Linked DNA regions of Astyanax mexicanus. The protein of the gene in region 1 interacts with the protein of each later gene in a pairwise test. Links are inferred from orthologs where the notes say so. Each region holds a gene or a part of one and is shown on either strand. Other genes may lie near its edges. The genes, in order: afadin- and alpha-actinin-binding protein, zgpat, ccnh and top3b.

Region 1 (7,278 bases):
AAGGTAAAATTTACTTTTATGGAGATGCGGATTTCATTTTCCAGCAGAACTTGGCGCACTGCCCACACTGCCAAAAGTATCAATTGGTCTTTTATAATATTCTAATTTTCTGAGATGCACCTGTATAACTGTTATCCAAAGCTTACCAGTTTTGGCAATTTTACTGCCACTACTTCAAGAGAAATGCTGGATGCACCAAGTGGTGCATCCCCAGTTTTTGTGGCAAAGCAAGAACGCATGAAATGTGTTCTTGATTATTGGAACACAACTTGGGCACTGGAAGGGAAGGTCAGACTAGAAACAGGACACCTAGAAGAGGTGTGTTTGAGTATGGAAATACAAAACGTCTCCACGACTGACTTTGGGACCAGTGAAGCAGAGGATGCCTTGTAAATTGGCTAACAATTGTCAATATTTTTTAAAGAAAGATACAAATTAATAGCTGGTTTCTTTACATACAGAGCTATAGTCACAATACTGTTCAAATGACTTTTCTGCTACTTGCCTCATTTTTTCTGACAAATTTACTCTGCATTATGAGGATGCATTATGATCCTCTGCAACTCAGGATGTAAAACTAGTTTTACGTTTGTTTGTCTTATCTGTTGCAAGGCAGAAAAATGTATTTACTTTGACTCATGGTATATAAGGCAATGTTTGTGTCTGGTGGCTGGTTTAGGTCCTGTGGTGGCTGGAGTGGTCGGCACTAAAATGCCACGTTACTGTTTGTTTGGAGACACTGTGAACACAGCATCCCGCATGGAGTCTACCAGTGAAGGTACGTGAGTGAAGGGTGGCCTGTAAACACTAGGTTAATGATCAGCTCAGATGACTGCTGCTATGTTTGCCTTTGATAAGAAATGGTTTTGGAGACAGAATGACGGCATTAAATGAGGTTTACTTATTTGGTCACATCAAATACTGTCAATGACATTTACCAAGCCCTTGATAGTATATGTGTAATGCTTTTAATTGCACGTGACCACAAGATATTCTCAATAATATTAGTAACCTTGTTTTTGTGTTAGTTCCATTCCATTACATTTACAGTACTGTACAAAAGTCAGGCAAATATTCATATTGAATTTTACAGTCAAAAGTTCATATTCTTAAGGGAATTAGATATAAGCCATCTGTTTGCAAGGATAGTAGAATTCAAAAGAAAACCATTTAAAATGGGACTCCTAACAACCATGCAAGACCTGGTATCAATCTCCATCAAACAGCACTGAAAGCTTTCATCACTAGACAGAGAGACAGAGGAGGAAAACAAGCTCCACTTTCGCTTCTGATCTGAAAACATCCACAGGTGTTTCTATTCGTTGCTCAATTGTGAGAAGATGAAAGTATGTGGAGTTGACCAAGAAGGTCAAAGTGATAAAAACAAACAGACAAAAGAGAATAAGAACAATTGAAGTCCTCAGAGCAATGGATTGACCATCCAGGAGTCCAGACCTTGACATTATTAAATATGTTTGGGAAGCACAAAATGCAACAACTTCTGTAACTGATTTTTGTTTTTTGATTTTCTGATTTTGATTTTTGATTTTCTGCTGCTGCAATAAACCTAAAGTGTGGACACGATAAATTTAACTTATATTTTGAAAGGCTTATCTGTAATTTCTTTAATTAAAAAACAAAATGTGGTCTTTCTACATGGCATTATACATTATCCTAAATATATATTTGGTACTTGCTTAAGTGGAACATAGCACCTAATGTTTTACAGTATTACAATTTTAAATGCCATATTATCTTCTGGCAGCTTTAAAGATTCAGTGCAGTGAATCCACAGCTGATCTCCTCCACACTCTTGGGGGATACGTTCTGCTCTGTCGTGGCAGTCTAAATGTGAAGGTAAGATTGCTTACATCATTTGCAAACAGTGAAAGTGAAACTTAATTTAAGACATTATGTGCTACTAAAAGCAATGGAGCAAATATTTACAAATGTTACACTACATTACAGTTACTAGGATTGTTTGAGAATAGATGCACATAATTTTTTTAGGATTCCTTTTTGGGATCATTTTTGGGGCAGGATTTTGTAGCTGACTCACTGTGGTTGCTATAGATAACTGACCTTTTCTCATGGAATGCGCCCTTTCAGAGATTGACAAGATAATTTACATGGTAACCCCTTTTAAACCTCACAGCCTTTACGTAAAATGTTGCGCATAAATTATGCAGCTATTCACTATGCCCTTACTATGTATACAAGTAACTGAGTAAAAAAAAACATTCTCAAAATGTATCATAATTATTTTCAGCTGATCTCCCTGCATATCCTAGAAATTAATTGATTGTCCAGTAGAGAACATACGAAAGATGACAAGGGTCCCAAGAGAGAATGCTGTTGGGCCTAGCACAGCTGTGCTATGTCTCAATTAGAGCTTGGTCTCAGCTGGCTTCTGGACAGTGTCTTCTACCTCCTCATTCATTATTCAGAGACAAATAGAATCCCCCTCTCTGAATTTTAATGGCGATGTTCACGAACAGAGACACGACAAGGGAAGATTTACTGCTTGTCTGTAACCGTTTGTCTTACAGGGCAAAGGTGAGATGACAACTTGGTGGCTGGAGACTAAAAAAAGCCCTATGGATCATTTCCTTCAAGATGAAGAGCCACAGTGTGGTCCTGTCCCAGTTAGCAGCTAACACCACTGTCTAGAGAATATGCCTACCTTCCTGTCCTGATCGTTGTATTGATAAGTGTATCATGCAAAATGAAATCTAACATCGCAACATTGGCAAAATAATTGCTTTTTCGGACGCTATTCATTCTGTGATGTGGCATAAATTATTGTGCATTTGTATTTATTATGCTTTTATTGTTACCTTCTGAAATTATGCATAGCTCAAGATTAATCACTCCAGGATTTCAAGACTTGCTGATGTAATTTGTAAATATCTGTGTTTAATAATTAATAAACTGTGTATTATGTGAATTCCGTTTTACGAATAACAGAGAATTAAATAACATTAAATGCATTTAGATTTTTGACTCATAAAAGCCTGACACATTAATTCAATTTATCGGTCTATTACTTAAGCTTTGTGTTACATACAATAACATACACACAAAAGGCCAAAATGTATCCAGATTCCACCTCTAATGATTGAATTCAGCTACTATTCCTGACAAATAGGTTCAGCTTGTATATTATCCATTAAAACGCTCTGTCTGTGGAATAGGATGCCTAAGGTCAGAAAGGTGTCAGTTAGACAGGGGTAAAACCCACCAGCATTGGACTGTGGGGCAGTGCAGCTACATTCTCTGGACTGTTGAAACTTCATTCAATCCATTTGGGATGATTCAGAGTTAAGTTTATGATTCAGAAAGTTTGCAATCAAATCCTCTCCCTGCTGTTAAACTGAAAAATCTTGTCCGATGAGCGGTGTACAATTTACATTTCTATCAATATTTGTATATATTTAGCAATAACGTTTTATTATTTTCTATTATTATAACTACTTTTTTAAAAATAGTATTATATGAATTCATATGATATACCTGTGTATAAACTTGCCCATCTCAGGCTATTTTTTTAAAAAGATTTATTTATAATTTATTTCTAGTTCCCATTTTCTCCCCTATTTAGCTAGGCTGATTGTCCCACCCATTTAGCTGCTAATCAGCTGTATATTCCTCATCACCAGTGATGCCACAACACAAGGTGCCTGAAGACTAGCACATGCCTCCGTTCTCCGTAAGCCACTGGCTCTTTTTGAACTGATGTTGCATTTCGAACAGCTGCTGATGTAGCATTGCCAAAAAGCATCATAGCGTGCCCAGAGAAAATCTCTGGAAAAAAATAAGAGACCACTTGAAAGGTATGAGTTTCTTTGATTTTTTTTCTTTGAATGCTCTTAATGACAATATTTGTATTTGGAATCAGGGAGAAATGTTGTCTGTAGTTTATACATATAAAACATTTTACTTAAACATATACCTATAAATAGCAAAATCAGAGGAACTTATTTAGAAACTGAGGTAGTCTCTTATTTTTTTCCAGAACTGTATATGTTAAATAATATATGAAAATATTCATATATATTTTGTTAATCAATCATTGACTATACACTTTATTATAGACACATTGCACTGATTTATTACAGATTTATATTTATATATTCTGTATACAAAGCCTTTTTTGCCATCCAAAGCCCGCATCGAAGCTCATTGGTTGACGCTTGGGTTATACGAGGTAAGCGGCCAATCAGGTGGCCGCTGTTCGTTGCCTGACAACGCAATGCTTGTCGCTGCTTGTCCTCGTTTTGCAGCTGAAACTGGCACTCTGTAGAAGAGCCAGAACTGCAGCACCTCCAGCTGGAGCTACAGATACAGTTTAATGTTATTACCGGGTACAAAATCAGCACAGCGTTTAAAGGCGGTTCACCATTTTTCTAAGGCGTTTCTTTAAAACCTCTGTCGACGTGGAATACCCCAGATGCCCTGGTGATGCTCTTCGTTGCTAAAAAGACAAGTAAGTGAGCCTCGTCCTCTCAGCCAGGCACGGATTTATATGTAGCTGCGCATGTGTCCTGAATGTAGCCGTGAGTGTGCTCAGATTATACAGTTAAACATGCTTAAAAGAGTACCACGCACAACCTGACAGTTCCTGTAGCCTCGTTCACTGGATTCTGGACACATATTTACTGCCGGTTTTAGCGCAGTCAGTCTGAAGAGATGGCCAGGTCTCATAACATTTAGCCTGCTACTACAACCAGTTGGATAACGGTACTATTAGCGCTTGATTATATTTTGAACTATATGTACAAACGTTACAGTAATCGTTATAAACGTGTTATTTGTGCTGATGTCATTCATATATTATAGGCCTGCTTTAGTTAGACTGATTATACAGCTCTGTAAAAAATGATGAGTTTCCTCTGGAAATATAATCTAGAGGAAGATGGATGATCACAAGCCAAATCAAGCTGAACTGCATATATTTTTGCACCAGGAGTGGCATGAAGTTATCCAAAAGCAGTGTGTAAGACTGGTGAAGTAGAACATGCCAAAATGCATAAAACTGTAATTAAAACCAGTTTTTTTCCACCAAATATTGATGTCTGAACTCCTAAAACTTTATTAATATGAACTTGTTTTCTTTACAAGTCTGAAAGCTCTGCATCTTTTTTTGTTATTTCAGCCATTTCTCATTTTCTACAAATAAATGCTCTAAATGACTATTTTATTTAGAATTTGGAAAAAATGTTGCCCATAGTTTATAGAATAAAACAACAATGTTTATTTGAATCAAACATATACCTATAAATAACAAAGTCATAGAAACTGATTCAGAAACTTAAGTGGTCTTTTATTTTTTTCCAGAGCTGTATGTTACTGTAAAGCAAGTGTTATAGTTAAATACTAGGGGTTGGCGATATGTACCTAAAATAATATAACAATATTTCAGGGTATTTTTTGCGATAATGATATACAACATTAAATACAAAAATAAAGATAAATAAAAAAACATGCTGCAACAAAATATGAATGATAAGATACATGTAATATGCCACTCCCCTAACTAAGATTTTTACAACATTGTAACATTGTAAGTCATTTGTCCAACATCCTATTTATCCAGGATTGAAGTAAAATAAAAGATACTGGAAAGATACACTGCCAAAAAAAGTTAGACCTGACCAACTGCTGCAACCCCAGATCATTTACTTAGTTAAATCTAGGTGGCAACTTTTTTTGGCCAGGCAGTGTATAATCTGTTTCTAATAGATATTTAAAGGTAAATGAGAAGAGTGTGATCACAATATTTCAGGGTGTTTTTGTGCTACCAGTATTTAAGATTGTTGGTGAAATTCTTGCATACGATAGGATATGGCAAACCCATTTTAAATACATTTGGCGGGTGTGTGATGGAATTCATCTGCCGGCTGCAACTAAGCTTTGTTCTTCAAACTAGCTCTCAAATGATTAATTACTTTCTTCAAAATGAAGCATCCTTCCAAGCATCAAAGAATGTTAAAGACGTCCCCAGTATACTAAAATTGCATCATGGGAACTACAGCTAGGGTAAAGCCTGCAAAAGTATGAAAAATAACAGTGTTCTGCACATGTCTACTATGTATACTATTTTTTCAACATGGCTGAATATATGAAAAACATGCTTTTAGAACACTTGGTTCAGAATTTGATATAATTAGTCTGACTAAAGTAGGCCTATGTAGGTTCCTTAAAGTATGTACAGACAGTTATACAATAACAAATTCAGGATAAACTCTTTTTAATATCCTTGGTTTCAGAGGAAAAAATAACTTTTGTCCTGTTAGTGCATGTATGTATGTATGTATTATTATACATTATTAAGATTGTGGAATTATGTTAGATTGCTGGATTTATGTTAGCAATGGAGTGATGGAGTAACGTGAAAAGCCCTGCTAACATGCTCTTTGTTTTCAGGGTACCTGTGCAGGTGTTTGCCGCTAAATAACTAATCCACACAGTATTAGCTCCTTGGATATATGGAAGCCTGGAAAGATGCCAGAGTCATCATATGGTGAAACTGTTTTATAATATATGTAATACTATGATTTGTATGAAAGTATTATGCTTAAAAACATATTTAATTATTTCACAGAAGCACAGTATTAACTGCACTTATTAAAATGGCACTTTGAGGATTCTTTAGTAAAGGAAATAATTACTAGGTTAATATAGGTAAAAATAGGTTATTAATAGGTTAATCGTTTGAGCGAGGGTCCACAGCATTATCTGTGTACCAGGAATATGTCCTATAAGACATGACTACTCACAGTGGATAATGGGTTAAAATGATCCAAATCGCATCAACAATTAACACAGAAGGCTCTGAATATCCTGCTGCTTAAATCAGCATTCTTTAGCTTCCATGAGGCATGGCAAAAGTTTTAAAACACTTCATAGGTAAATGGTAAGATTAAAGATATGAATGAGTTGATTTGTGTATATTTTTAAACTCATTGTTTTATGCCAGAGCTTCATACTGACATTCCATACAGTGTATGTATGACTCTTTTGCTCTACATAGACATAGTCTCATGTGTAAAGGGAATAAATTAAGGAACCAGAAATAACACTGGAGTACTATTTTAAGTTCATGTGTCTCTACTAACCTCGATAAAACTTAGCATGCTCATTGTCATCTTTGTCATGATATTTACCCCCACACAAAACCATGACTAAGACTGTATTTTTACCAAGCAAAATAATTCCAGAATTGTTTGTACCACAGTTATTTCTGTTTTTTTTTGTGTGTTTCACAGACACTTCCTT
Region 2 (7,689 bases), about 3.2 Mb from region 1:
TAAATCAGCTTAAGTCACACGCTAGACATTATCCTAAAATAATCTGACTAACTCAGAGTGTAGGCGATTTTACTACAGGTGGCTGCAACATCATGAAGTTAAAATTTTGCTAAAGAAAAAAATGACTTGCGATTATTTTAAGAAGGTGACAAAATGTAAATGTAGAATGCATTTTCTATAGAGTTTTTCATGGAATTAAGTATTTGGTGAAAACTTGCCAATAGTGTTTTACACATGGACATATCAGTGTTGTTTCATTCTGTCTTTTATCACTTGGGAAATAGTGGAAAACTTTGTCTACTTGAAGATTGAACTTGATTTATCAAGATACATTTAATTGTAACCCCTGTATTGTGATGCATGTTGTATTTCCAAAAAACGTTTATGCCAATAAACAGGCTTTTTTTTTTGTTTGTTTTTATTTAGCTAGAATGCCATATATTGAGAAAAACAATACAGCTTTCTGTCTTTGTGTTCTTTTATGCATCACACCTTCTAATCTCAATGTTTTCTGATGTTCGTGTTTACATATATTTATTTTTTCCCCTCTCTCTAGGGCTCTACCAGTTTATTCGACCACACCACAAGAAGCAGTTTGATGAGAAGTGTCAGGTGCTTACAGGCCAGGGCTGTGGCTACAAGCATGAGCACTCGCTCTCAAGGGAAGAGAGGGAAACCCTCAGACAACAAACAGGTAGCATGTTGTAACTGTGGCATGGTACCATGCATTATAGTTTTTTTATCTTTTAAACCAAACACATCACATAAAACCAGCAAAAAAAACGTGTAAAACTGATGTGAACCGATGGCTACTACTTCTTCTTTTTTTTTTTCTTTTTTTTTTTTTTACAGTAAAAGCGGAAACTACTGAAAAAGCCACAATCAAAGAACTAGACTCGAGCAAACAACTGAATCAAGGCGGCTCTCATTTGGGAACACACAATTTGTGTGGTGGTATGTACCCAAAATCTGTCTTAAGCTTTGCTACTCATGCACTATGTTAAAAAATAAAAAAATGAACACAAATATTGCAATGCTATTGTTCCGTCTATATCGTTCAGTCCTTTTACAGACTAATGTCGCAAAAAATGCTAATGTTGGTCAAAATAGTTGAACCTATGTTGGTGAGATCTTGTTTATTTTTAGATTAGGGTCCGTATTAATATAACATGCGTTTTGTGTCAGTAGAATAATTCATACAAACTCTGGTAACAATACACTCAAAAATAAAATACGTTTTTGTAATATAAGTATGTTTTCTAAAAGTTTTAAAGATATATAATATATAGTAATTTAGACAGTTTAGACAATTATTTATTTAGCTTTTTCATTAAAGAAGAAACATTAACCACTCCCCAGTAATGGATTAATATGGTCAATGCAGTATATGTAATGTAAATTTTTTTTGGAAAAAAAAAAGTTGCCATAAGGCTGCAGATGTGAAAATGTACAAAACTATTGTCAAAATAGACAATTTACATAAAGAATGAAAGACCAGATTTCACTGAAACACAAACAGACTAACTACTACCAAGAAAACATATATTTTATTCCTTTCTCATCGGTTTTACTTCATTTTTATTGCACAGTGATTTAAGGCATCCTCCGTGTTAATAGTTCCTTGTTCTGTATACTTTTTTTATATTGAAGGCATAAATAAAATGTGATAATTTTAATATCAGAAGTGATAACAAAAGAAAAATTGTACATTGTAAATGTCAATTCTTGGAAGGACACACTTCAAAAAATAAAGAATTACAAAAAAAGAAGTTAACCACTGACATCCGCGTGATCACAACCCTCACACTGTTTAATTTTTAATTTAATTTTAATAAAGGGACTGAAGATACTTTCTGAATGTTCAGCAAATCTTTGTATCTTTTGAATCAAAATAAGTGTATCCTCAGCTTTGAGTCAACCATGCTTTCATTAAATTAATTCTATTATTTAAATTGTCCACCCCTGTCATGCAGCTTGCCATGACAGGGTGAACAAACACATGAATACATGCAAGTAAAAATAAAAAAGTGGCAGAGGTGGGTTTCTGTGTAGTCTGAAGTCTTATAAATATGATAAATAGTTAGAAGATTAAAAGTATATGCCAAAAAACACAAATAATGACCCACACACATATAAATAATAAACTAGTTTGCTGGAATAAGTGTTGTGTCCTCAATTTTCAACCTCTTAAGGTCTAATGGTACTTCTAATGTGGTATTTGCTCTATTTTTCTCCATTTACAGTGGGTGCAGTGAAGGATCAGAAACCACAGAAGCCACAGACGTCAGGAAAAGATGGCCAGTTCAGCGCTACCCTTCTGTCCGACATTAAAAAAGCTATTGGTTCTGAAAAAACCAATCAACTATTTATAGCGTTGCAGACGTACAAGAAAACAAATAATTATGAGCAGATGGTATCAACAGTTGTGGGATTGCTGACAGAGCGGGACGAAGACATTGTCCTTTTAAGACGTGAGTTTTAATCCCATACCCAGGAAAACATTTTGCTGTTTCTTATAATATTATAAATAAATATAATATTTATTTATAAGAAACATACTTATTATAAATAAGTAGAGAAATATGAAAACTTAACTGCTACTTTTGCTGATGATTTTCTTTTTTTTTTCTTTTTTTGTTTAGGGTTATCTGTGTTCATCCCGCCACACCACAGTCAGCAGTTCTCTGAGATGTTAAAGTCTTTGACTGGCAGTGCTTCAGTGACCTGTGAAGAATCAGAAGAAGCTTCCAGTCACCCAGTTCCAGGTAGAATTCAGGGCCTGCATTTAACATACATCACAGCCTAAGATCAGAAAGTCCTTTAAGCACTACTGTTTAAGATTATGGTCGAGTCCTATATCAGCATTCGTACTCGTAGGACTTTAATAAATATGGGCTCAGATGATATTTACACAGATTCCATGGATAAGCACAACATGTATTTGTTAATCCTTATTGATTTTCATGAAGAAATCATTATTCATTTCAAGTCCAAACCTCACATGTTCTGCAGTAGATTCAGCTTTTTGAAAAACAAAACATTGATTTCTTTCATTCTTCATTCTGTCATTATATTTTAAAATATATTTAATAGTGGAAGTATAATGCAATATTGATTTAGTCTTGTTTCATTTGTCTCCACAGCATCACAACTCTCAGCAGGAAAATCACAGAGCAAGATATCATCCTTCTTCTCCTGACCAGGGGAATCCAGCCAGACATACTGATTTGTTTGGTTAAAAGTAGAAATACCATCCGATATGCAGATTAATTAGGATTAAGTGAACTCTTTCTCTATCAGAATGACAAAAAAAAGCAGGATTTGTTTTGGTTGTTTATGTAATGTTTCATTGACCAAAGATGAAAAATTATGTATGATTTATGCTATCTTAACTATTTTAATAAAAACAATGGTATTTGTGTTTTTTCAAATTTATATTAAAATATATATTTGTACTTATTTCTTGTCTCGTTTCCCATTTGTGGATAATATTAACTGTGACAAGGCACATTGAAACTTTCTGAACCTGTGCTGGATAGTTATGTAAAGTAAATTAATGTAATTTACTGTAATGTAATTAGGCTATGCCTGTATACATTATTTGAATAAGTAAAGCAGTACAATAAAGTAAAATGTATTTATTTGCCTGTTTTATACAAGTTTTTATTTATTTAATATAAACTCAATAAGTTTATCTAATGAAAATTGTTTGTGTTATGTTTAGAATATTTTAATAGATACTAGTGTCCAAATAATTAATGACATTATATTAAAGGCAATTGTTATTTTTAGAGTTAAGATAAGGGTTATTTTCATGTAAAATGAGTAGATTAAGCAATTGAGTCTGGTAAAAAAAAAAAAGACAGGATATTAAAAAGCCATAATATCTTTCTATAGTCAAGGCAAGTACATTGTACTTTTTGTTACGTAATGAATGGTTCAAAGGGAGTATTTTTGCATTACCTCAAATACATGGTTTAAATCATTATTCCTTTGTCCAATCCTGCTGTTCATGTTTCTGCTTTTTTTTTAAGTTTCATTTGTCTCCACAGCATTACAACTCTCAGCAGAACAAATAAAGATATTAATAATATACTCTATATCTAGGTAAATGTATGAAAAAAGCATATTATATCCCCAAGGTTCAGGTTCACAGAGCATGTGAGTGACGTCGCTGAGGTAGTGTCTCTGTGGGCGGTCAGAGTTGCCAGGTTCGCGTTTTTTCCTCCAAATTTGGCTTGTTTTAAAAATCTTTTCTCTTTTGAAATTTTAGGGGTGGCGGGGTGCATTTTTTTTGGGGGGGGGGGGGCTACTTAAAAAAATAGCGCAGCCGCCAAAAAAAAAAAAAATTAACAAAAAAAAAAAAGATATCACAGGGCGATGAAAATAAAATATTAAAGAGGAGAGAAGAGAGTTCAGGAGGGGCAAGAACAGTAAAAGTCATTTTTTGCTAATTATGTTACTATTAAATGTTACTAATGTTACAATATTATTAATGACTTTTAGGTAAATAGCAATACTAATAATAAATCCCTTATGAACAAAATACTCAAAGTGTACAAAAGTCGTACACGTATTGTTTTTTGTCATTTACTTCAAACGTGTAACAGACATATTTTGGGCTAGTTTAAGCTTCTGAAGGGCGGGTTTAAGACTGAGTTAGGGCTGCATATTTTCGTTGGACTTGGCAACCCTGGCTGCTACAGAGCCGCACAGGGCAGCTTTAAACTACAGAAACGCAGCAGAGTTTATTCGCTCGGACGTGAACACTATGTAACGTAAGATATAAATACTGAGTGTTTTTTTACTTCTTATTTAATATCTTTTAATGAAGACTAAACTCACCAGGCTGTTAAACAGCTACTATTATCTTAGCTAAGCTAACTGCTAGACAGCCAAATGCTAGCTAGCTACAAGCCGGGTTTGTTATTAGCTTGCTAGGTTTAGCTAGCTCACTGTGTTGAGGTAGTTATATGGCGACTTCCACAGATATTCTTAGTTAATTTTAGATTTAAAAAAACACTTTTGTTCCACCAGTCATGTAGTTGGTTACTCTAATTATTAGCTAGAGTGGTTTTATTGAAGGAAGTGAGCTGGTTAGGTAGTTAGTTAGCTTGATTTGTGGAGAAGGTCAGAAGGCAGAAGCTCGTCAGTAAAAATGTTATTCTGTAATATTTTGGCGAGACTATCTAGCTAATAAAACAAATACTACGTTTTGAATGAGATACATGTACTTAACTATCAAGGACATAGTGCTGCCCATAGGCAACAAACCACATTTTTTGTTTTTCCATCCATTCATGTATCGTTAATATCTGTCTATCTACTTATCTACCCACCCACTCTCTCCCTTTCCTTGTTCTTTATATCTATCCTTATCCCTATCCCCTGTTTAATTTGTCTGTAAGAGACCACGTCAGTTTCTCTGATCTTGGATCTATAGGTAAACGTTTGAGTAAAATAAACACTGTTGTTTTATTCTATAAACTACAGACAACTTTTCTCCCAAATTCCTAATAAAAATAATGTCATTTAGAGCATTTATTTGCAGAAAATGAGAAATGGCTCGAATAACAAAAAAGATGCAGAGATTTCAGACCTCAAATAATGCAAAAAAAAAAAAAACGTTTATTTTCATAAAAGTCCAGAAATCAATATTTGGTGGAATACCCCTGGTTATTAATCACAGTTTTTATGCATCTTGGCATGTTCTCCTCCACCAGTCTTACACACTGCTTTTGGAAAGCTTTTTTCCACTCCTGGTTGCAAAAATTCAAGCAGTTCAGCTTGGTTTAAGAATCAAATAAACTCAGAATTTTTTGCAAGCTGTATTAATATGTGCAAAAATATATAATTGGCTGTTTATATTCTTACTGTTTTTGTAAACTGTTTTTGTTGCCTTTTTAAGTTGTACCACATTAGTTAGATTAAGCTTGATGTAGCAGTGGTTCTTTTCTCTGGTCCTACAGACCACCTTCTCGCCTGCATGTTTTGGGAGCTTCCTTGCTCTAAAACTCCTGATTCAAATGAATAGCTTGTCATCATAATTCTAAATCTAAATTTAAGTTTGTTATATCCACAGGGACTTCCATGCTTTCACAAATGATATATTTTCTCCCTAAGAATACAATTAATGGCATAAAGGATTAAATCTGCCTTTCTGTCTCATAACCATAATTACACTTTGCATAACATATACAACTTGTTTTCTCTTATACCCAAGTCAATTACAGAATAAAAATGTTATATAAAAGCTTTTACTGCATTATTCTCTTATTCCTCTTTATCTGCAGGCACCTCCTTTCATAGCTCCCTACCATGGATGAAGGCAACCTGCAACAAGCCATTGAGACCTACAATGCTCAGCTTCAGCAGGTAGAAGCTGCACTTGCTTGTGGTCTGGGTGCTTCAGAGCAGGCAGACCTGCTGAAGTTAAAGGAGGATCTTGTACAACTTATTGAGCTCACTGAATCCAGCTTGATTTCAGTCAAGAAGAGCCAACTTTTTGCCTCAATTGAGGATTCCCAAACAAAGCAGGAAGCGCCAGCAGAAACCCAAGAACTGTCCAAGAAGAATAACAATTTGGATGATGAGTTTGCAGCCTTTTATTCTGGACTTTCTGAAAGTGCTGCGGAGGTAGCACAAAGCCGCGGGCCTGATGATGATGAAGAGGAAGTGGATGATGAGGAGGAGGAGGAGGAAGAAGAAGATGACTACATGAGTGGTACTAAAGTACGAGCACCTTATCGCACCTCTTGGGGAACACTTGAGTACCACAATGCCATGGTAGTGTGCTCAGAGGAACCAGATGGGGATGAGGCTCGAGTGAGAGTCCTTTACCTCTATCCTACACACAAGTCTATAAAGCCCTGCCCTTTCTTTCTGGATGGCAAGTGCCGCTTTATGGATAGCTGCAGGTATGAAAACCTTATTTTTTTAATTAAGTTTAATTATTAGTTTGAGTTTTTCATTTTTAGTTTATATAACCCTGAGATTGGAAATGGCACCAATCTGTTGGTGTTTTGTTTTTCATTGGGTATTTTGCACAGAATTTAGATTCATTCAGGTGGAAGCATATTTGCATGTGTTATTGTACTGGATTGGTTTTGTGATTGACATTTCAGCCATCTCTGGGTAATATGGAAATAATAAGCCGCCTCTGCCTGTCTTTTTGTTTGTTGTCACTCAGGTACTCCCATGGGGAGGTGGTATGTGTGTCCGAGCTGAGGGAATTTCTTGAAGCAGATCTCACACAAATGCAGGCAGGATCTTCGTGTTTGGCCAAGCATGAAGACGGCATCTGGTATCCTGCCAAAATCACAGGTACACCTCCTCAGCCGTTCTGTCAAGATTTATTTCAACGTCAATGATGAACATGGCAGTTTCATGCTTAATTTTTCTGTATAAATTTGTTTTTATTCTTTTAATTTTTTTTTTTACTTAAATACACATTCACAGAGATCGAGGATGGCTTCTACACGGTTAAATTTGATTCCTTGCTGCTAAAGGAAGCTGTCCTTGAGGCTGATAGTGTTATTCCCCCTTTGCGACCGGATGAGTCCTCCTCTTCCTCCTCTGACTCGGAAGATGACTCTGAGGAATGTGAAACAGGTTATGCTAAAGGTTTGTTTCTTTAAGTCTGTGTGGAGAATCCCCCAGGAAAATTTGAAGTTGAAATGCTCACACCAA
Region 3 (7,965 bases), on another chromosome or scaffold:
GCAGTGTGCCAAGTCCTGCTGGACAATGAAATCCGCATCCACATCCACATAAAAGTTGTCAGTAGAGGAATAATAACAGTTAATAAAGATCACTCTGTGTGTAATACATCTATATAATTTAGTTTCACATTTTGAACAGAATTGCTGAAATAAAGTAACATTTCAATGACATTCAAGAAAAAGACAGAGGCTGTAAAAAGTTGAACATTCATGTTTTCTGCCGATTTTAAAACATAAAAAAAAACAGTCATATCAAAACGTGTCTAACAGTATCCAGTAATATATGTTGCTATGTTCTCGACACATTTGTCCAGATCAGTCATGTAAGACACAAAGGCACAGTATGTATAAGCAGCTAAAACAAACACTCATTCTGTGAAGTTTCTTTTCATATCATTTTCCCCTCAAGACTGATTTATATAAAAATATAAAATGCATAAAGTCATTTAAAATTAATGTGATGTGTGTGAGAACTAAAAACTACAACCAATCATTCATTCACTAAAACTAGTCTAAAAACAGGAAAAAAAAAGATAATAGTAATACTTTCAAACTGAAGACAACAGTGACCTCTAGTGACTATGACTTAGTAGTGTTACACATCCCACCTCATCCATATACCCTAAACTAGAGCAGCAAGCAGTATGGAATAGCAGACTGTTGGGCCCAAAAAACAAGGAATGTTCTGAAAATGCCGTAAAACGCAACACAAATCTCCAAAATAGTTCGAACTGATGTCCACAGATGACTTGAAAAGGGTCCATCAAAGCTTTAACCTGTACATACTAGTGTTACTTACAATATTCAGTCCATATTTTGTCATGGAAATCCAAAAAGAAGCATTCAAAGTTGACCCAAAGTGTCCTCATAAAGTAAAGACGAAACAGGCTCCTCCAACAATAGACAGACAGGGCAATAAACAGTTACATTAGAAAAAAACTTAATACATTTGCAAAAATCATCCAGAAAGAGGAGGACTGCAATACAGTACTGTAAAAGTGAATTTATGAATTTTTGACAGAGTATCAAAAGTTTAAAAAATATGTAGACGTATACATTCAAGCTTTACGTGTGTTCTGTAAACCAAGGCCCATGAACATCAAGCATCGAGTTTACTAGCTCAAACACATAGTTAACACAAGGTTCAAGCTACATTTTAGCATTTTTTTTTTCAAATGCCATTCGCTTTTTGAAGACTACAAATTAAAAGCCTAAATTTGGCTTGGTTGCTAAAAAAAAAAAAAAAAAAAAAGGTTTAGGTTTGATCTGAGAGTCTGCAGGGTGATCACAGATGCCTCAATTCCCAACGACAAGACAACAGGTTGTGTAGTATAAATAGTACATCAGATTCAATGATACAATGATCTGATGACCCTGAAAGTATTGTAGTGTATTTACGGCCAAACCATACCAATCAATAAATGGGTAAATTAAATTGAACTGAACATGCTTGAGCTGGAAAAACACTGTGATAGAATTCTGCCCTCAATAACACCCCCTGCTGTAAACCTAAAAAAGCAAAAAAAAAAAGTAATTATTTGTCATCTCGTCATCTGTAGATGATGATCAGACCACTTTAGCCATTTTGTAGTGGACATCATGGCCTTATTAGAAACTCAAAGTGGAATCTAGTGGTATTTAGAGTTCTTTAAGTTATCGATACTTATCAATCCATACAGAAGCGTTTTTGTAAGGGATATACGTGTAAAGAACCTTTTAAAAAAGTTTCAAGTAGTGGGATTTTTTTTACCCTTTATCAAACCAAAAATTATATATCACTTGAAATTCCCTTAGAAGCACCATTATTTTGGGTCAGTGTAACGTTTATTGTTTTTTTTTCCTGAGTGTTTGAGGCTAAATTCAAAAATAGAAAATTAGATTTAACAAACTTTTTTTTAATGTGGTGCACTGATCAAGAAATGTATAAATTTTTCCACATTTAGTTTTTTAATATCTGTACCTCACAAATGAAAAAAAATGTATCTTTATTTTCAGATTTTTCCATTTTCGCATTTTACAAGTTGGATTATACCATCAGGATTACAAGATACAAAAATGGACAAATCTGAGGAAAAAAAATTCAGAAAGATTCACTTAGAATTTTTCTTGAAAATCCATTTGCGCAAGACTGAAATTAAAAACTAGAAATATATATAAAAACCCATTTCTTCTTTACTCTACTGAATGAAAAAGAAAAAAAAAGTTTTACGCCCAATTTTCGAATTTAGCTTGATACAGTCAGACAATTCAACTGGTAAACGTTACACTAACCATTTTGAGCTTAAAGCAACTTGTTTAGCAATGGAAAGTGTAAATGGCATTGAATTATTCTTATTGAGAGAAACTGCTTACATCCAGAATTTCTAATATGCACAATATGTCAATCCTAGAATCAAGCAAGACTTCCAAGATATATAATCAAAAGTAGCATAGAAAGAGTTAATATGGTATGTATCACACAACAGCTAAACCACAGCTGGTATTTAGCTAAATTTTTTAGCAAATAATCTGTTTAGAAGTGTTTAAGCAGGAAAAACTCTACTGAACTTTGGCCCTTGGTTTCCCACCCATGCTCTAAACTGGCTAAGAAACTGTAGCATGTTAGCCTAAAGCTGTATCTGCAGCTAGCATTGCACTCACTGAAATAATTGTAGTTAGAGTTCTATAGAACCATGACATTTTTACACTACAGTAAGTACGCACAATGAACAGTACTGCCTGATATACACTGTAAAAAAAGATAAAATAGCAGCAGGCTAGGAGTTGCTGAAAAGATTGGCCTGAAAACCTCTCTCAAAAATCAGCCTCCAGCCACACACAATCTACCATTGGTCCTCTGCCTCTCTATTTCAAACTGCTACAGGTGATGATGAAATACAGATCTCCACTAATGTCATATCTTAGTGTTTTGCTCATCCATTTAGATCGTGTTTACATTTCGAGATACAAGGTACAAAAATATATATATAATATAATCTGCTTTGACCCACAACACCCATGCTGCCCCACTACTTAACCCATATATAGGCAGGAACCAATGTAAACTGCATTAAAACTGCACTAGATCTTAATGCGATGATCTAAATTAAATGAGATGTTCTGAAGCTCTGTTTTTCAGCCCTGTGAGTGAGCTTTCAACACCAGGGTTTCTTTAACCATAAAACTCCTTTGTTATTATTCAGCAGTCTTGTAAACCGTGGACCTTTTAAAATCATCTAAATTAGACTTATAGGGGCTCATTTAAACTGATTTGGCCAAAAAAAATGCCATACTGTGCCCCTATTTAACGCATAAAAAAGGGGAGGAATCAAAATCCTGACCTCAAAGTAAAATCTGGACTGGATCTCAACAAATGATCATCAATCCACCATCAGCTGGTGTTGACGAAGTCATGAAATCTCAGGGCACATCGGTTCCCATTCACTCAAGCCAGGAACTGGCCTGTCTCTCTCAAAAGCTAGTATAGACCTTTAAAAAAACATCAGGATTTGGCATATATGAACTTATTTAATCTGCTTTGGCCAAAAACTCTTATACTGTGCCCCTATTTAGCCCATATATAAGGCAGGAATCAATACAATCTTGACCTCAAAGTAAAATCTAGACTGGATCTCAACAAATGATGATCATCATTCCAAATCCATAACCCCAACAGATGGTGTTGACAAGATCTTCTTTACAAAGCCATTAAGTCATGAAACCATAAAGCCGTGAAACCACAGGACCCACAGCCCCCCCATCCCACTCAGGCCTGGAAACTGTCTCGACTCCCCTGAGCCAGGGACCTCTTCACAACATTAGCCACCTCCTTCTCGAACTGGTGGAGCAGCTTAAAGTCACAGAAGCCTCTGTACAACAGGCCGGTGGCTAGAGTCTGCATGGCCTCCTTCATCTGGTGCAGGGAAGGCACTGTGATGGTCTTCATGCCCCCGTTGATCTCAGCAGTGACCACGGTGGGATCGGCGGGCTCGAGTTTCACTGAGAGCAGCTCGCTTCGCTCCACTTGGCCCTCATACTTTACCACCACTTGCATTTCCTCTTTTTGCTGCTGGTTCAGCTGCAGGGGGTTATAGAGGGGGTTCTGCTGGAGGTTCTGTAGGAGGTTTGCTGCACTGCCCGGCTGAGGTCTCTCCGTCTGGTTCTGTTCTTCTAGCTGAACGTGGTACAGCTCCCTCACAGTCTTCTCCCTCCTCTTAAAGCCTCGGTACCAGTTCGGACTCGCCCTGAACTGCGTCAGCCCCATCCGCGCCGCCAGCTCCATGGCCCTCCTGTGGATCAAAAGGTCGGACGGCGCGGCGCCCCGCCTCCTCATCGCGTCGATCCAGCGCCACAGCGCGGCCTCCAGCCTCGGCACCTTCCCGCAGCGGACGTGGTGCGGTTCTCCCCTCATTATAATGTTCCTGTTGCGGAGGATCGTCCACAGCACGGACTGGGTGATGTTCAGGCGCATCGCCGCCTTTTTCTGGCTCATGTTGGGGAGCCGGTCGTACATTTCCAGCAGTCTGCGCTTATCCTCAATCGAGTACTTTCTCCGTACTTTCTCCGCCATGCTTGTTTACCCACGCACGAACGATGAATGAGTGGCGAAATATGCGCATGCGCAGCTTTAACCGCTTAAAAGTCCCTTCTAGTGTAGACTTTTAAAAGTGCGGGAAAATGAATTAGGAAAGATCAGGTTTGCTTTCCTGTACAAATACTGTGCATAATAATAACAAAACACAAAATATTATTATTATTATTATTATTATTATTATTAGTAGTAGTAGTAGTTGTAGTATGTTTCCAAAAAAAAACAATCTTAAATTAATCTAATCTAATAATGTATTATTATTATTGTCAATACTATAATTATTGTTTTTATTATTATTATTATTATTATTATTATTATTATTATTAGTAGTAGTAGTAGTAGTAGTAGTAGTAGTAGTAGTAGTAGTATACTCTGTGTACTGTGTAGATCTGGTCTAATTTCTGTTTTATTTTAACAGAAATTAAATGTTGACATCAGCAGATATGTAACCACATCTTCCCTGGCCTATTTGTTTACTTACCTATTTGTCAGGTTTGTTGAACGAGCACATAATTCCACACTTTGAATAATTTCAGAAATAGAAACAGAACGCCCGTGTCAGCATTAAAACTACTTAAACAAACCACACGTGTTATTCCATTTAATGTCACCTCACTCATTACTGCCACCTGTTGCAATAACACAGTTCCTGTTATTTTCTTTTTTTAAATTTCTTTATTTCCTCGTTTTTCTTCTTCTCTTCAGTTGTTTTCTTTTTATTCTCATAATAAAGTATTCGTGAACATAAGAACAGGTCAAAACCTTGATGAATATATATTACATATGATATATGTTATATATTTTAAATTTGTGTATAATTTAAACACTGCAGTGGTCGGATATTGTGCGGTAGGTGGCGGTAACTGTGTGTAGATGATCTTCAGTCCGCGGAGGAAGAAGGAGTGAACTGGCTGTGTTTTATTTTCAGCACTGCTCTGTGTTTTTGGGTTTTTGGATCAGATGAGCTCTAAACTCTGACTTCAGGCCCTGTTTAAACTCAGGTAAGAGAGATCAGCTGCTTTCTGTGCTGTCTGTTGCATAATTCTGTCCTTTAAATGAAAGTAAATAAAGGATTTATTGGGGAATTAGATATTAACTACCACTGTTTAGCTCTCACCATGATGCTGAACACAATATATAACCTAGCTTATGTTACTGTTCTGGTTTAATAAGGCATTTTAACAGACTGTAGTGCTAGTTTATTATAGATAGTTGATAGTGTATTATTAATTCATGATAAATGTTGATGCAGATGCTATATTAAGGGAGTATCATAAGAATGTTTCTATCACTTAACGTTAGTTAGCTAGCGTTAGTTTCTATGCCCGGTTAAAACACATTCACACCCCTTAACAATCCCTTAAGTGGCGCATTGAAGTCTCTATATGAAAGCCCGTTCCTGCCACCTGAAATAAAATTAAAAAATCCAGCACAATTTATTTTGAGATAAGTCATTATTTTGGGATAACAAGTGTGTTTATTTTGGGGGAAGCCTTAGTAACGTTAATTCAAAATAAGTCTCTCAAAATAATGAGTTAGTATCTCAAAACAATGAGATGGCAGTTTACTTTATTATTTATTTTATTATTTTAAGTGGCGGGAATGAGCTTCAATACCTTTACGCTCTATTCGCTCAGTAATTATTTAAAAAAAAATTGAATATAGAGAATATAGAAGTGTTTTTGATATGAATGAGTTAAGCTAACCGTAGTTACCCTACACGTATTAGCTAGGTTAACGTTAGTTAGTGTTAATTGTGCCACAAATATGTTAAATTCACAAGTTCAGGAGGAATTAACTCTAACATTAGCTAGCTTAGTCAAACATTAGCTAGCCAAGCTAGCTAGCTAAATAAACTAGGTTAATTATATAACCTAAACCATTAGCCAGCTAGCTAGGTTGGCTAACTAACTGTCCCATATATATTACTGACCCACACCACAGTCGGTGTTTTAGGCTTAGCTAGCTAATCTAGCTAAGTACCCTGCTAAAAAAAAAATCCAGTTAAAAACAGCTAGCTGCTATCAGCTAGCTAGCGCTAATGCTAATATTAAAAACACAGGAACTTCTAGCTTATTTTTGACGTTCATCTACATATAAAATACCCATTTCCTTTTGACCTATATCACCAGAGACTCATTCAGATTTCTGGGTACTTACATAATTAACACAATCACTTACATCAAATCTACAAATAGTTAATAAAATACTGTTCTTCCTCAAACAACTGAAAAATCAGAGTTGGGGAAAAACAAATCTTTTTCAGTTTTACATTGCCATTATTTAAAGCATACTCATCTCAACTATACTCATCTGAACTATAATAGTGTGTTACGGTAATTTGGACATTCATTCATGCAGAAAATTATCAAACAAAGTATGATGGATAAATCATCAAAAATCACAGGGCACACCCTCCCATCCGTTGGCGCCTTGTATTATAGAGGTATCACACAATCAGCAATAAACCTTCTGGAAGACGCTACAGGTCACTGCCAACAAAATCAGTTTACTGTAAACTAAACCAGGTTTAACAGATTGTTTTTCTCTGTATGTATTCGTCAACTCATTGTTTGTGTTTTTGTTGTTTGTTCTGACACAGAGATGTGAGCATGTTATGCTGTAACACATGCGAATTGTGTAATGTGTGGTCATTAATAAAGAATTGAATTGAATAAATTGAATTATATAGAGTCTAGTATGGAGCCCTGGAGGTCTCTGTCACTAGCGACAGAAGAGCGTTTTTTTTTTTTGTTTGTTTACATTGACTTCCATTGAAAGTTTTTTTTTTCTTCTTCAAATGCATTTTTAGAAGGTTTTAATGCAGTATTATTCAAACTAACCACTATTTTTTTTTCTATTTCTACAGAATCTCCTGCTATGTATCACAACAGCTCCCAGAAAAAATACTGGACGTTTGACAATGAAGCACCATTGGAGCAGATGAGGCATGAAGCTAACCAGAAGTATCGCTCAAAAGCCATCAGCCTCAGAAAGGTCAGAAGGTGTTTTAGAGTATCTGGTTACCACAAATACAATACAGTAGCCTAACCCTAACAATGTTTTGTTTTAGCTCAGTCTTTCAGTTTGAGGCTTATTTTAGCCAAAAATCTAATTCTCTAGATGTGCAAAGCTGGTAGAGACAAACCTCAAAACATTTGTAACTGTAATTGCAGTGAAAGGTGGCTCTACTAAGTATTGATTTAGGGGGGTTCAACAAGTATAAATACATTTGCCAGGGGATTGAGGGATTAAAAGCGCCCCAACTTTCAGCTGTAATGAAAAGTAGACCTGTTCTCTGGAATGATTGGGAGTTGGGGATGAGTTGGTGTGCCGATCATCCAACATTCTGACTTCACTAATGTTTTTGTTGCATAATGAATGCAAACAAATTC
Region 4 (7,369 bases), on another chromosome or scaffold:
ACCGCAGGCCATAGATCAGTCACTTACACTAACCATGACTCACCTCCACCTCCACCACCGTGCTCTTTCTCTCTCTTTCTTTCTCCTTCTCTTTCTCACTGCTTTAAATTGGTAGAGAAGCTTAACACATTAACATTTTACAAGGTTTAAATGTTCTTCTTTACTATATTATTTTATTTTAAAAGTGTAGCAGTCAAGCAGTTTGTTGGTTCAGCAAGGTCAGTATAATGCTTTGTCTTGCCATATAAGGCAGAATTCGAAAATAATAAAAGAAAAGTGTAAATTGTTTTATTATTTTCATTATTTTATTTTTATTTAGCAAAAATCTTTAAAAAAAAAATCTTATCCATATTTTAAGACTTCTAGTTTTTATTTCTGTCTTTCACAGTCTGAACTTCAATTAACGTAAATAACTATAAGACGATTTTCTTATTGGCTTGTCCTTTACTGTGTTTTCAGAATGATAATACTTTTACATCAAATACTATATATCTCAGACAAAAACAATCAATATTTTACTAATTTAAACATTGAAACAATTAAGATGAATCCTTACTATTATTCAAATTCAAATTTCATTATGTAACAATGAAAGCACCTGTACTGCTTTGCTGTAGCTTACACATGCTGAATGTATTTAAAAGCTTCAGTGCAGTTCTTTACAGTATTTAGAAGGGCTGGACAACTCATACAGCTCTGTAAAAATTTAAGAGACCACTTAAAAATGATGAGTTTCTTTGATTTTACCAAATTAAAATCCTCTGGAATATAATAAAGATCAAGATGGATGATCACAAGCCATCAAACCAAGCTGGACCGCTTGAATTTTTGCACCAGGAGTGAAGGCATAAAGTTATCCAAAAGCAGTGTGTAAGACTGGTGGAGGAGAACATGATGCCAAGATGCACGAAAACTGTGATTAAAACCAGTGTTATTCCATTAAATATTGATTTCTGTACTCTTAAAACTTGTTTTCTTTGCATTATTTAAGGACTGAAAGCTCTGCATCTTTTTGTTATTTCAACCATTTCCCATTTTCTGTAAATAAATGCTCTAAACGACTTTTTTATTTGAAATTTGGGAGAAATGTTGTACATAGTTAATAGAATAAAACCACAATGGTAATTTTACTCAAACATATGACTATAAAAACTAAATCAGAGAAACTGATTCAGAAACTGAAGTGGTCTCTTAGTTATTTCCAGAGCTATATATAATTTCAGCAGTAATTTTGCAATGTGTGCATGCACAGTAGAGCAGGATGTCCAATGACATTCAAACAAATTATATCATACTCATTATGCTGAAAATTTACTACTTTTCATGATACATGTAAATTAGAGGCAGAATATACAGTATCTGCCTGATATAATTTATGTTACTAATCTTTAATATACAGAGTGCATTTTTATCATTTCATGTTGGATCAGGAGAATCTGATATAAATTTCTGTATTTTCAAAATAGTATAATTTTTTTAGTGTACCAGTCAACAGTTTGGACACACCTCTTTTCATTCAATGCGTTTTCTTACTTTTTATGATTTTTTTACTTTGTAAATTTAATACTGAAGACTACATATTTATTTATATTTATCTTTGAGTTCAGATCTGCGCACCCTTGGTATTTTAATCTCAGTTTCTTCATGAGGGAGAATCACCTGGAATAGTTTTCTCAGCACCTTGAAGGAAGGAGTTCCTGGAGGTGCTGAACAATAGTTGCTGCTTTTCCTTCACGCTGTGAAGCTCCAGCTCATCTCAACTCAATCACCTCAAATCACCATCGCTGATCATCAGGTTTAGATCAGGGGATTAATGTGGAGTAATAACACCTTTTTATTGTTTACTACATAATTCTATATGTGTCCCTTAATTGTTTTCATGTCTTTAATATTAATCTACAATGTGAGAAATAAATAAAAAGCAAGAAAACACATTGAACGAGAGAAGAGGTGTCCACGGTTTTGACTGGTACTGTAGTTACAGCTCTAGAAAAAAAATAAGATACCACTTCAGTTTTTGAATCAGTTTCTCCCATTTAACTGTTCATATTTATATGTTTAAGTATAATGATCATTGTTGTTTTATTCTATAAACTGCAGACAACATTTCCCCCAAATTCCAAATAAAAAATAGTCATTTAGAGCATTTATTTGCAGAAAATGAGAAATGGTCAAATTAACAAAAAAAGATGCAGAGCTTTCAGACCTCAAATAATGCAAAGAAAACAAGTTCATATTCATAAAGTTTTAAGAGTTCAGAAATCAATATTTGGTGGATTAACCCTTGTTTTTAATCACAGTTTTCATGCATCTTGGCATGTTCTCCTCCACCAGTCTTACACACTGCTTTTGGATAACTTTTGCCTTTACTCCTGGTGCAAAAATTCAAGCAGTTCAGCTTGGTTAGAGGACTGTGATCATCCATCTTCCTCTTAATTATATTCCAGAGATTTTTAATTTGGTAAAATCAAAGAAACCCCTCTTTTTTTTTTTTTTTTTTTTGCAGAGCTGTATATTTCAAATTTCCAATTTTGTGCATCACTAATATTTAATTAGGTATTTATTGTAGATACTATTTTTTCCCTGTATTGTGTTTCCTGTTTCTAAAAAACTATATAACTAATTTATATTTCTTCTACTTGAGTCATTTCATTTTCTGATATACAGGCCTACTTTATGAGCCTTTTATTAGCTAAAATACAGAACACAAAAATAATTAATTACTGAATATCTGGAAATAACTTAAGATTATTGACTGAAGTGCATTTAAAAGCAGTAAAAAGGTAAGTATGCCTAAATCAGATAACACTAAAAGTTAACAAATTAAACTACTAGCTGGAACCTCATTAGCAATTTAAGCTAAATTAGGCTAACGATACAACCACGGATTTCACGAGTTTTATAAGTTTGTGCAGATATGTTTAGTTTTAAACTGTTTTACCTGTCGTATAGGTAATAATAGAAACTTAAATTCAATATTAAAATAGATAAATTCAGTGTAATTTAGCAATTTACTTGTTTTATCTAAAAATAACAGTTAACGTTAGCTGACTAGCTAGCTAACCTAGAGAGTATAGTTACTGTTTGTTTAGCTAAGTATCTCAGATTAGCCTTTTACCAACGCCATTTACCAAGTTAAAAGCCACCTTAAGCCACACAGAGCGGCAGGAAAATTAGTGTAAGGTGTTTAAGGTAAAATAAGTGTGTTAAATTGAATTAAATATGTAGTTTATGTGTTTTTTATGTGTTGTGTTTTGCTGTGGTACCCGTGGTTTGCCGACACTCCGCTGTTCAGGTTTCTGAGAGGATATGCAGTCAGCGCTGAGACCGGTACCGTGCTGCCACCTATCGGCGGCAACCCGCCACCGCCACTCTCCGTATAAAGCGGTTTGATTGGCCCCTGATGAGCCTTTATAAATAATAATATAATATTAAAATATTTTACAAAATATCATTGCATGGATAATTCTCAAAAAACTTTGCGACCATTACAATGGACATTACATATTTTAAAGATGTTTTGTTGCACACAACACTAATTGAGACATATTGTTCATCCGTATAGACCATCAACCAGCCAATAAAAAAAGTTTATAAGACAATTAAACAGTAGCCAACTGCACAAAAGAAACACGCAGACATTATGGCATGACAGCTCTGTCTTTGATTATTTTATGTGATTTATAGCTCTTTTTATTTAGGATTAGGGATGGTTTTTAAAATAAACGGTTTATCATTTTCACATATCAAATAAAATGTTAAGCACAGGACTCCAGTGCAAAAGGCATTAAAAAAGCAATAAAATATTTAGTTAATTGGGTTTAATATTTAAATACAGTTTATTTGAGGATATTAGAGACTTCTTTTGGGTTTATCACAGGCAAAAAATAGCATACTTACATTTTTCCATCACTTAATCATAATTCAAGTCTGAAAGGGTTTAACCTTTTAAAACTTTATTATTATTATTATTATTATTATTATTATAGTTTTGCAAATACATACACAACCTGAAGAGAAATAGGAATGATAAAATAATAAACAATTTAATTGTTTTTTGTAAATTAGTCATTTGTACATACTCATTCTACCAATACATTAATTATTATTATTATTATTATTATTATTATTATTATAAAAAAATGGAAAAAAAAATAGTTCAACAAATAATGTAATTATATACATTTTTAAAACATTTGTCCTTACATATTCACAATGAAAGAAAAAAAAATCCATTCCCATCCTTCAGTCTCTTCAGTGGTCTACATTCATACATACTACTCCTACTACTACTATTAAAAACAAAAAAAATGTAATGTGTAATTTAAACAACTCACTAAAACTTTTATTTTGTTACGCCGTAACCCGGATGTTGAAAGTCTTGCTCTGGGCGTCACTAGGCTGCAGTTTGGCTCTTTGTAGAGAATGTTTATTATATTAATATAGTTTATTATTTTTGGGAGAAAGCAGCTGGTTGTGTTCAATTAACAATAATTATATAATTACGCGGGAAAAGCAGCAGCAGCAGCGCAGAGATGAGGACGGTACTGATGGTGGCTGAGAAGCCCTCCCTGGCTCAGTCAATAGCCAAGATCCTTTCTAAAGGTAAAGAAATATAACATAGAGCTATCGCAGTTATTATAGATAGGTTAGATAACGTTAATTATTCAGTATTTTACTCACAGGAAGGGTTTTCTACAGCGGGAAGACACCAGAATCTTCCAGAAAGCGGACTAAGCTTTGTTTGAACATGGTTTAACAGATTTATTTAAAGTTATTTAACTAGCTAGTATTCCTAGTTTTTAACTAAGTTAGCTTGCCAGCTATAACTTCTCTAGTTAGCTAGCTAACTTAACGTTACCCTCTTTTCTAAATACGTTTTACTAAATTATACATTTACGGGCAATATTATATAATGTACAATATATTGTGATACAAAAATATCGTGATATTCTGTGTCTTAAAAGTAGTCTATTATTTACTGTGAAGCTTTAGGTGTAACGTTATTTATTGTATAATTGTTTTAGTTTGCAGTTTATATGCATGCACTAAATGTTCTGCAATATTATTTGCTGAATTATATTATTTTATGCTATATTATTTATTTTACCACATTATGATTATTCTGTTATACTCTTATATACTATATTCCTGAAATGAATTAATTATTTTTCTGTTTTCCTATATCTCCAAGTATATCGTTATCGCAAAAATACCCTGAAATATCGTGATATTATTTTAGAGCCATATCGCCCACCCCTAACGGGCAATATAGTTTATTTATGTTTTTTTTTCCTCATCTTATCAATGACCTAATTACTGCTCTTTACCTGTCAGACCTCTAATTCAACTTAGTCCAGTCATGTTAATCAGAGCTAAAGTCTAAAGCTGTTTCCATGTGGGTCAGCCAGACGTCTCCCTGAGTTTTTTGAAGGTGTAGAAAACAGTACTTACCGCTCTCTGGCTTCATCTGTAATTTCTCTAAAGAAAAAATTAACCAGTTGTTTGCTAAAATAACCTCCTCTTTTTAAAAAAATATATCATTTTTACAATACTCATTTTTTTAGTTAATTTGATTTACACATTTTTTTAGCATTGTTTGACATTTAAAAGTTAATAGCTCTTTTTACATTGTCATGCTATTATTTTTATTTAATTTATCACAATTATCTCTTGAACAATATATTGTCAAGACAAAAAGTTAATCTGACAGGCTTATGTAGTTCTAGTAGTATAAACATTTCTTTATAGATTCTTGATAGTTATGGGAAAAAAAGTACAAAAAAAATAAATAAATCTTATTAAGAATTTGTAATAAACTCTTTATTCATTAATATTTTCAAGCTTTCTGCAGGGTATCACTGAACTGACACAAGCATTCCGGATGGTGTTGATTGTGAAAATAAATAGGTAGATCTGAAACAGCTGGTTGTTGGTGCAGGGAACATGAACAGCAACAGAAATGTCTAATAGTAACTATAAATAATAAATAATTATAATAAGTAATAATAAGCTAACAGGCAGTTTTTATTAGGCTAGTTTTTTCTGGATGTGGCACATATACAGGCAACGGTAATTGACTCAAACTCAATGGAGTAGAACGGGCATCCTGTGTGCTTCCGGAGAACAGGCATTCTAAAAGACAGGGGGACGCTCTCCACGCTGGACGTGCTGTCCACCCCGTTACAGGAGTGAGTTGTGAGGCATCGAGCTTCATAGATGACCTGAGGCACCCGGTTCACGTCTGTATTCACTTCCCTATAAATCAAAAACACAAAACAGTAGAAGCAGTCAGAGTGTTTTATACTGCATTATACTGTATGTCCAATAGTTTGTGGACACTCCTTCTAGTGAATGCATTCAGCTCTATGGTGGATCTTGGATTTTTCTGGGGCCACAATATTTATAGAGGGGCCAAGTATTATTTCATCAGTCACATCATGTTCAAACACTTATTTTAAAAAATCTATGGAGTTAATTTTGTGCCAAAAGATTTACATAAAAAAATAAATTAAAAAGTGTATTCTGCAAATTCAAAACATAAAAATATATTTCTAAATATAATTGGTTACTTTATTAGTCTTTGCAGTCATTTGAAAGTTATTTGTGTTTGAATTTTGACAGTTTTTGCTTTTATTTTTGTGTTTTTGTGGAATTTGCAGATAATGTCTTCTGCTTCATTTTTTGCTCATATATATATATATATATATATATACATATATATATATATATATGTATATATATATATATATATAATCTACTATTTTAATTTTAAAATATTTTTGAGTAAAACATTCAGCACAAAATTAGCTCCATAAAATTTGCTTCCCAATTTTACAGAATATTTTTCTGTGCATAAAACAAATGAGTGACAGGACAGGGACCACTATAGGGGACCAATCACCTCTAGTGATTCAGCTACTTTAAGATGCGCAAATTGCTCACACAGACATACACTTTTGAGATGCTGACGATAGAATAGAATCTCTAGAGCAGATAAACATGAACCATGAGCCAGGCGTTGGCTAGAGTGTGTAATGCCTACAGCATTGATCTGTGAAGCAGTGGAACTGTGTTCGAGTGGGTGAAACTGGAGGGAAAGTGCACTAGTGTTGCACTGCTCACTATTTACTATATTCTGTGCATCCCTACTCTAAAAGTGGTTGTACAAGCTACTGTATCTATAATTATGTTACAGAATTTATTAACCAGTATGTTTTAGGGATAAGATTAAAAATGCATAGCTAGCAGCTAATAAAGTCAGACTGTAATTCTAATACTCACACATATTCCCATGCAGCCAGGCTGCGCTCATTGAGTCTGTTGGGCTGGTAGGTAACTTCAGCATCGTATTTCTCCAGACTGTTCA

What was found.
Region 2: the proteins of afadin- and alpha-actinin-binding protein (region 1) and zgpat interact in binary tests that used the Homo sapiens proteins (3 or more experiments, as listed by UniProt). The two-hybrid records come from large-scale screens. The link is inferred for Astyanax mexicanus from reciprocal best matches to the Homo sapiens genes SSX2IP and ZGPAT.
Region 3: the proteins of afadin- and alpha-actinin-binding protein (region 1) and ccnh interact in binary tests that used the Homo sapiens proteins (3 or more experiments, as listed by UniProt). The link is inferred for Astyanax mexicanus from reciprocal best matches to the Homo sapiens genes SSX2IP and CCNH.
Region 4: the proteins of afadin- and alpha-actinin-binding protein (region 1) and top3b interact in binary tests that used the Homo sapiens proteins (3 or more experiments, as listed by UniProt). The two-hybrid records come from large-scale screens. The link is inferred for Astyanax mexicanus from reciprocal best matches to the Homo sapiens genes SSX2IP and TOP3B.

Annotation. Positions count from the first base shown.
Region 1 is NC_064423.1:20,581,933-20,589,210, reverse strand, and holds the start of afadin- and alpha-actinin-binding protein, read left to right. Parts: upstream 1-4,257; 5' UTR 4,258-4,486; intron 4,487-6,426; 5' UTR 6,427-6,504; coding exon 6,505-6,523; intron 6,524-7,278. Other genes in the region: atrial natriuretic peptide receptor 2, read left to right, coding at 680-778, 1,766-1,857, 2,550-2,657. UniProt on the Homo sapiens protein: Belongs to an adhesion system, which plays a role in the organization of homotypic, interneuronal and heterotypic cell-cell adherens junctions (AJs).
Region 2 is NC_064423.1:17,419,864-17,427,552, forward strand, and holds the start of zgpat (zinc finger CCCH-type with G patch domain-containing protein), read left to right. Parts: upstream 1-4,673; 5' UTR 4,674-4,778; intron 4,779-6,293; 5' UTR 6,294-6,318; coding exon 6,319-6,917; intron 6,918-7,189; coding exon 7,190-7,323; intron 7,324-7,458; coding exon 7,459-7,623; intron 7,624-7,689. Other genes in the region: rtel1 (regulator of telomere elongation helicase 1), read left to right, coding at 557-694, 853-954, 2,244-2,471, 2,643-2,765, 3,144-3,199. UniProt on the Homo sapiens protein: Transcription repressor that specifically binds the 5'-GGAG[GA]A[GA]A-3' consensus sequence. Represses transcription by recruiting the chromatin multiprotein complex NuRD to target promoters.
Region 3 is NC_064429.1:21,849,716-21,857,680, reverse strand, and holds the start of ccnh (cyclin-H), read left to right. Parts: upstream 1-4,965; 5' UTR 4,966-5,571; intron 5,572-7,439; 5' UTR 7,440-7,450; coding exon 7,451-7,567; intron 7,568-7,965. Other genes in the region: uncharacterized protein LOC103035564, read right to left, coding at 3,746-4,549. UniProt on the Homo sapiens protein: Regulates CDK7, the catalytic subunit of the CDK-activating kinase (CAK) enzymatic complex. CAK activates the cyclin-associated kinases CDK1, CDK2, CDK4 and CDK6 by threonine phosphorylation.
Region 4 is NC_064429.1:30,942,078-30,949,446, forward strand, and holds the start of top3b (DNA topoisomerase 3-beta-1), read left to right. Parts: upstream 1-4,360; 5' UTR 4,361-4,535; coding exon 4,536-4,605; intron 4,606-7,369. UniProt on the Homo sapiens protein: Releases the supercoiling and torsional tension of DNA introduced during the DNA replication and transcription by transiently cleaving and rejoining one strand of the DNA duplex.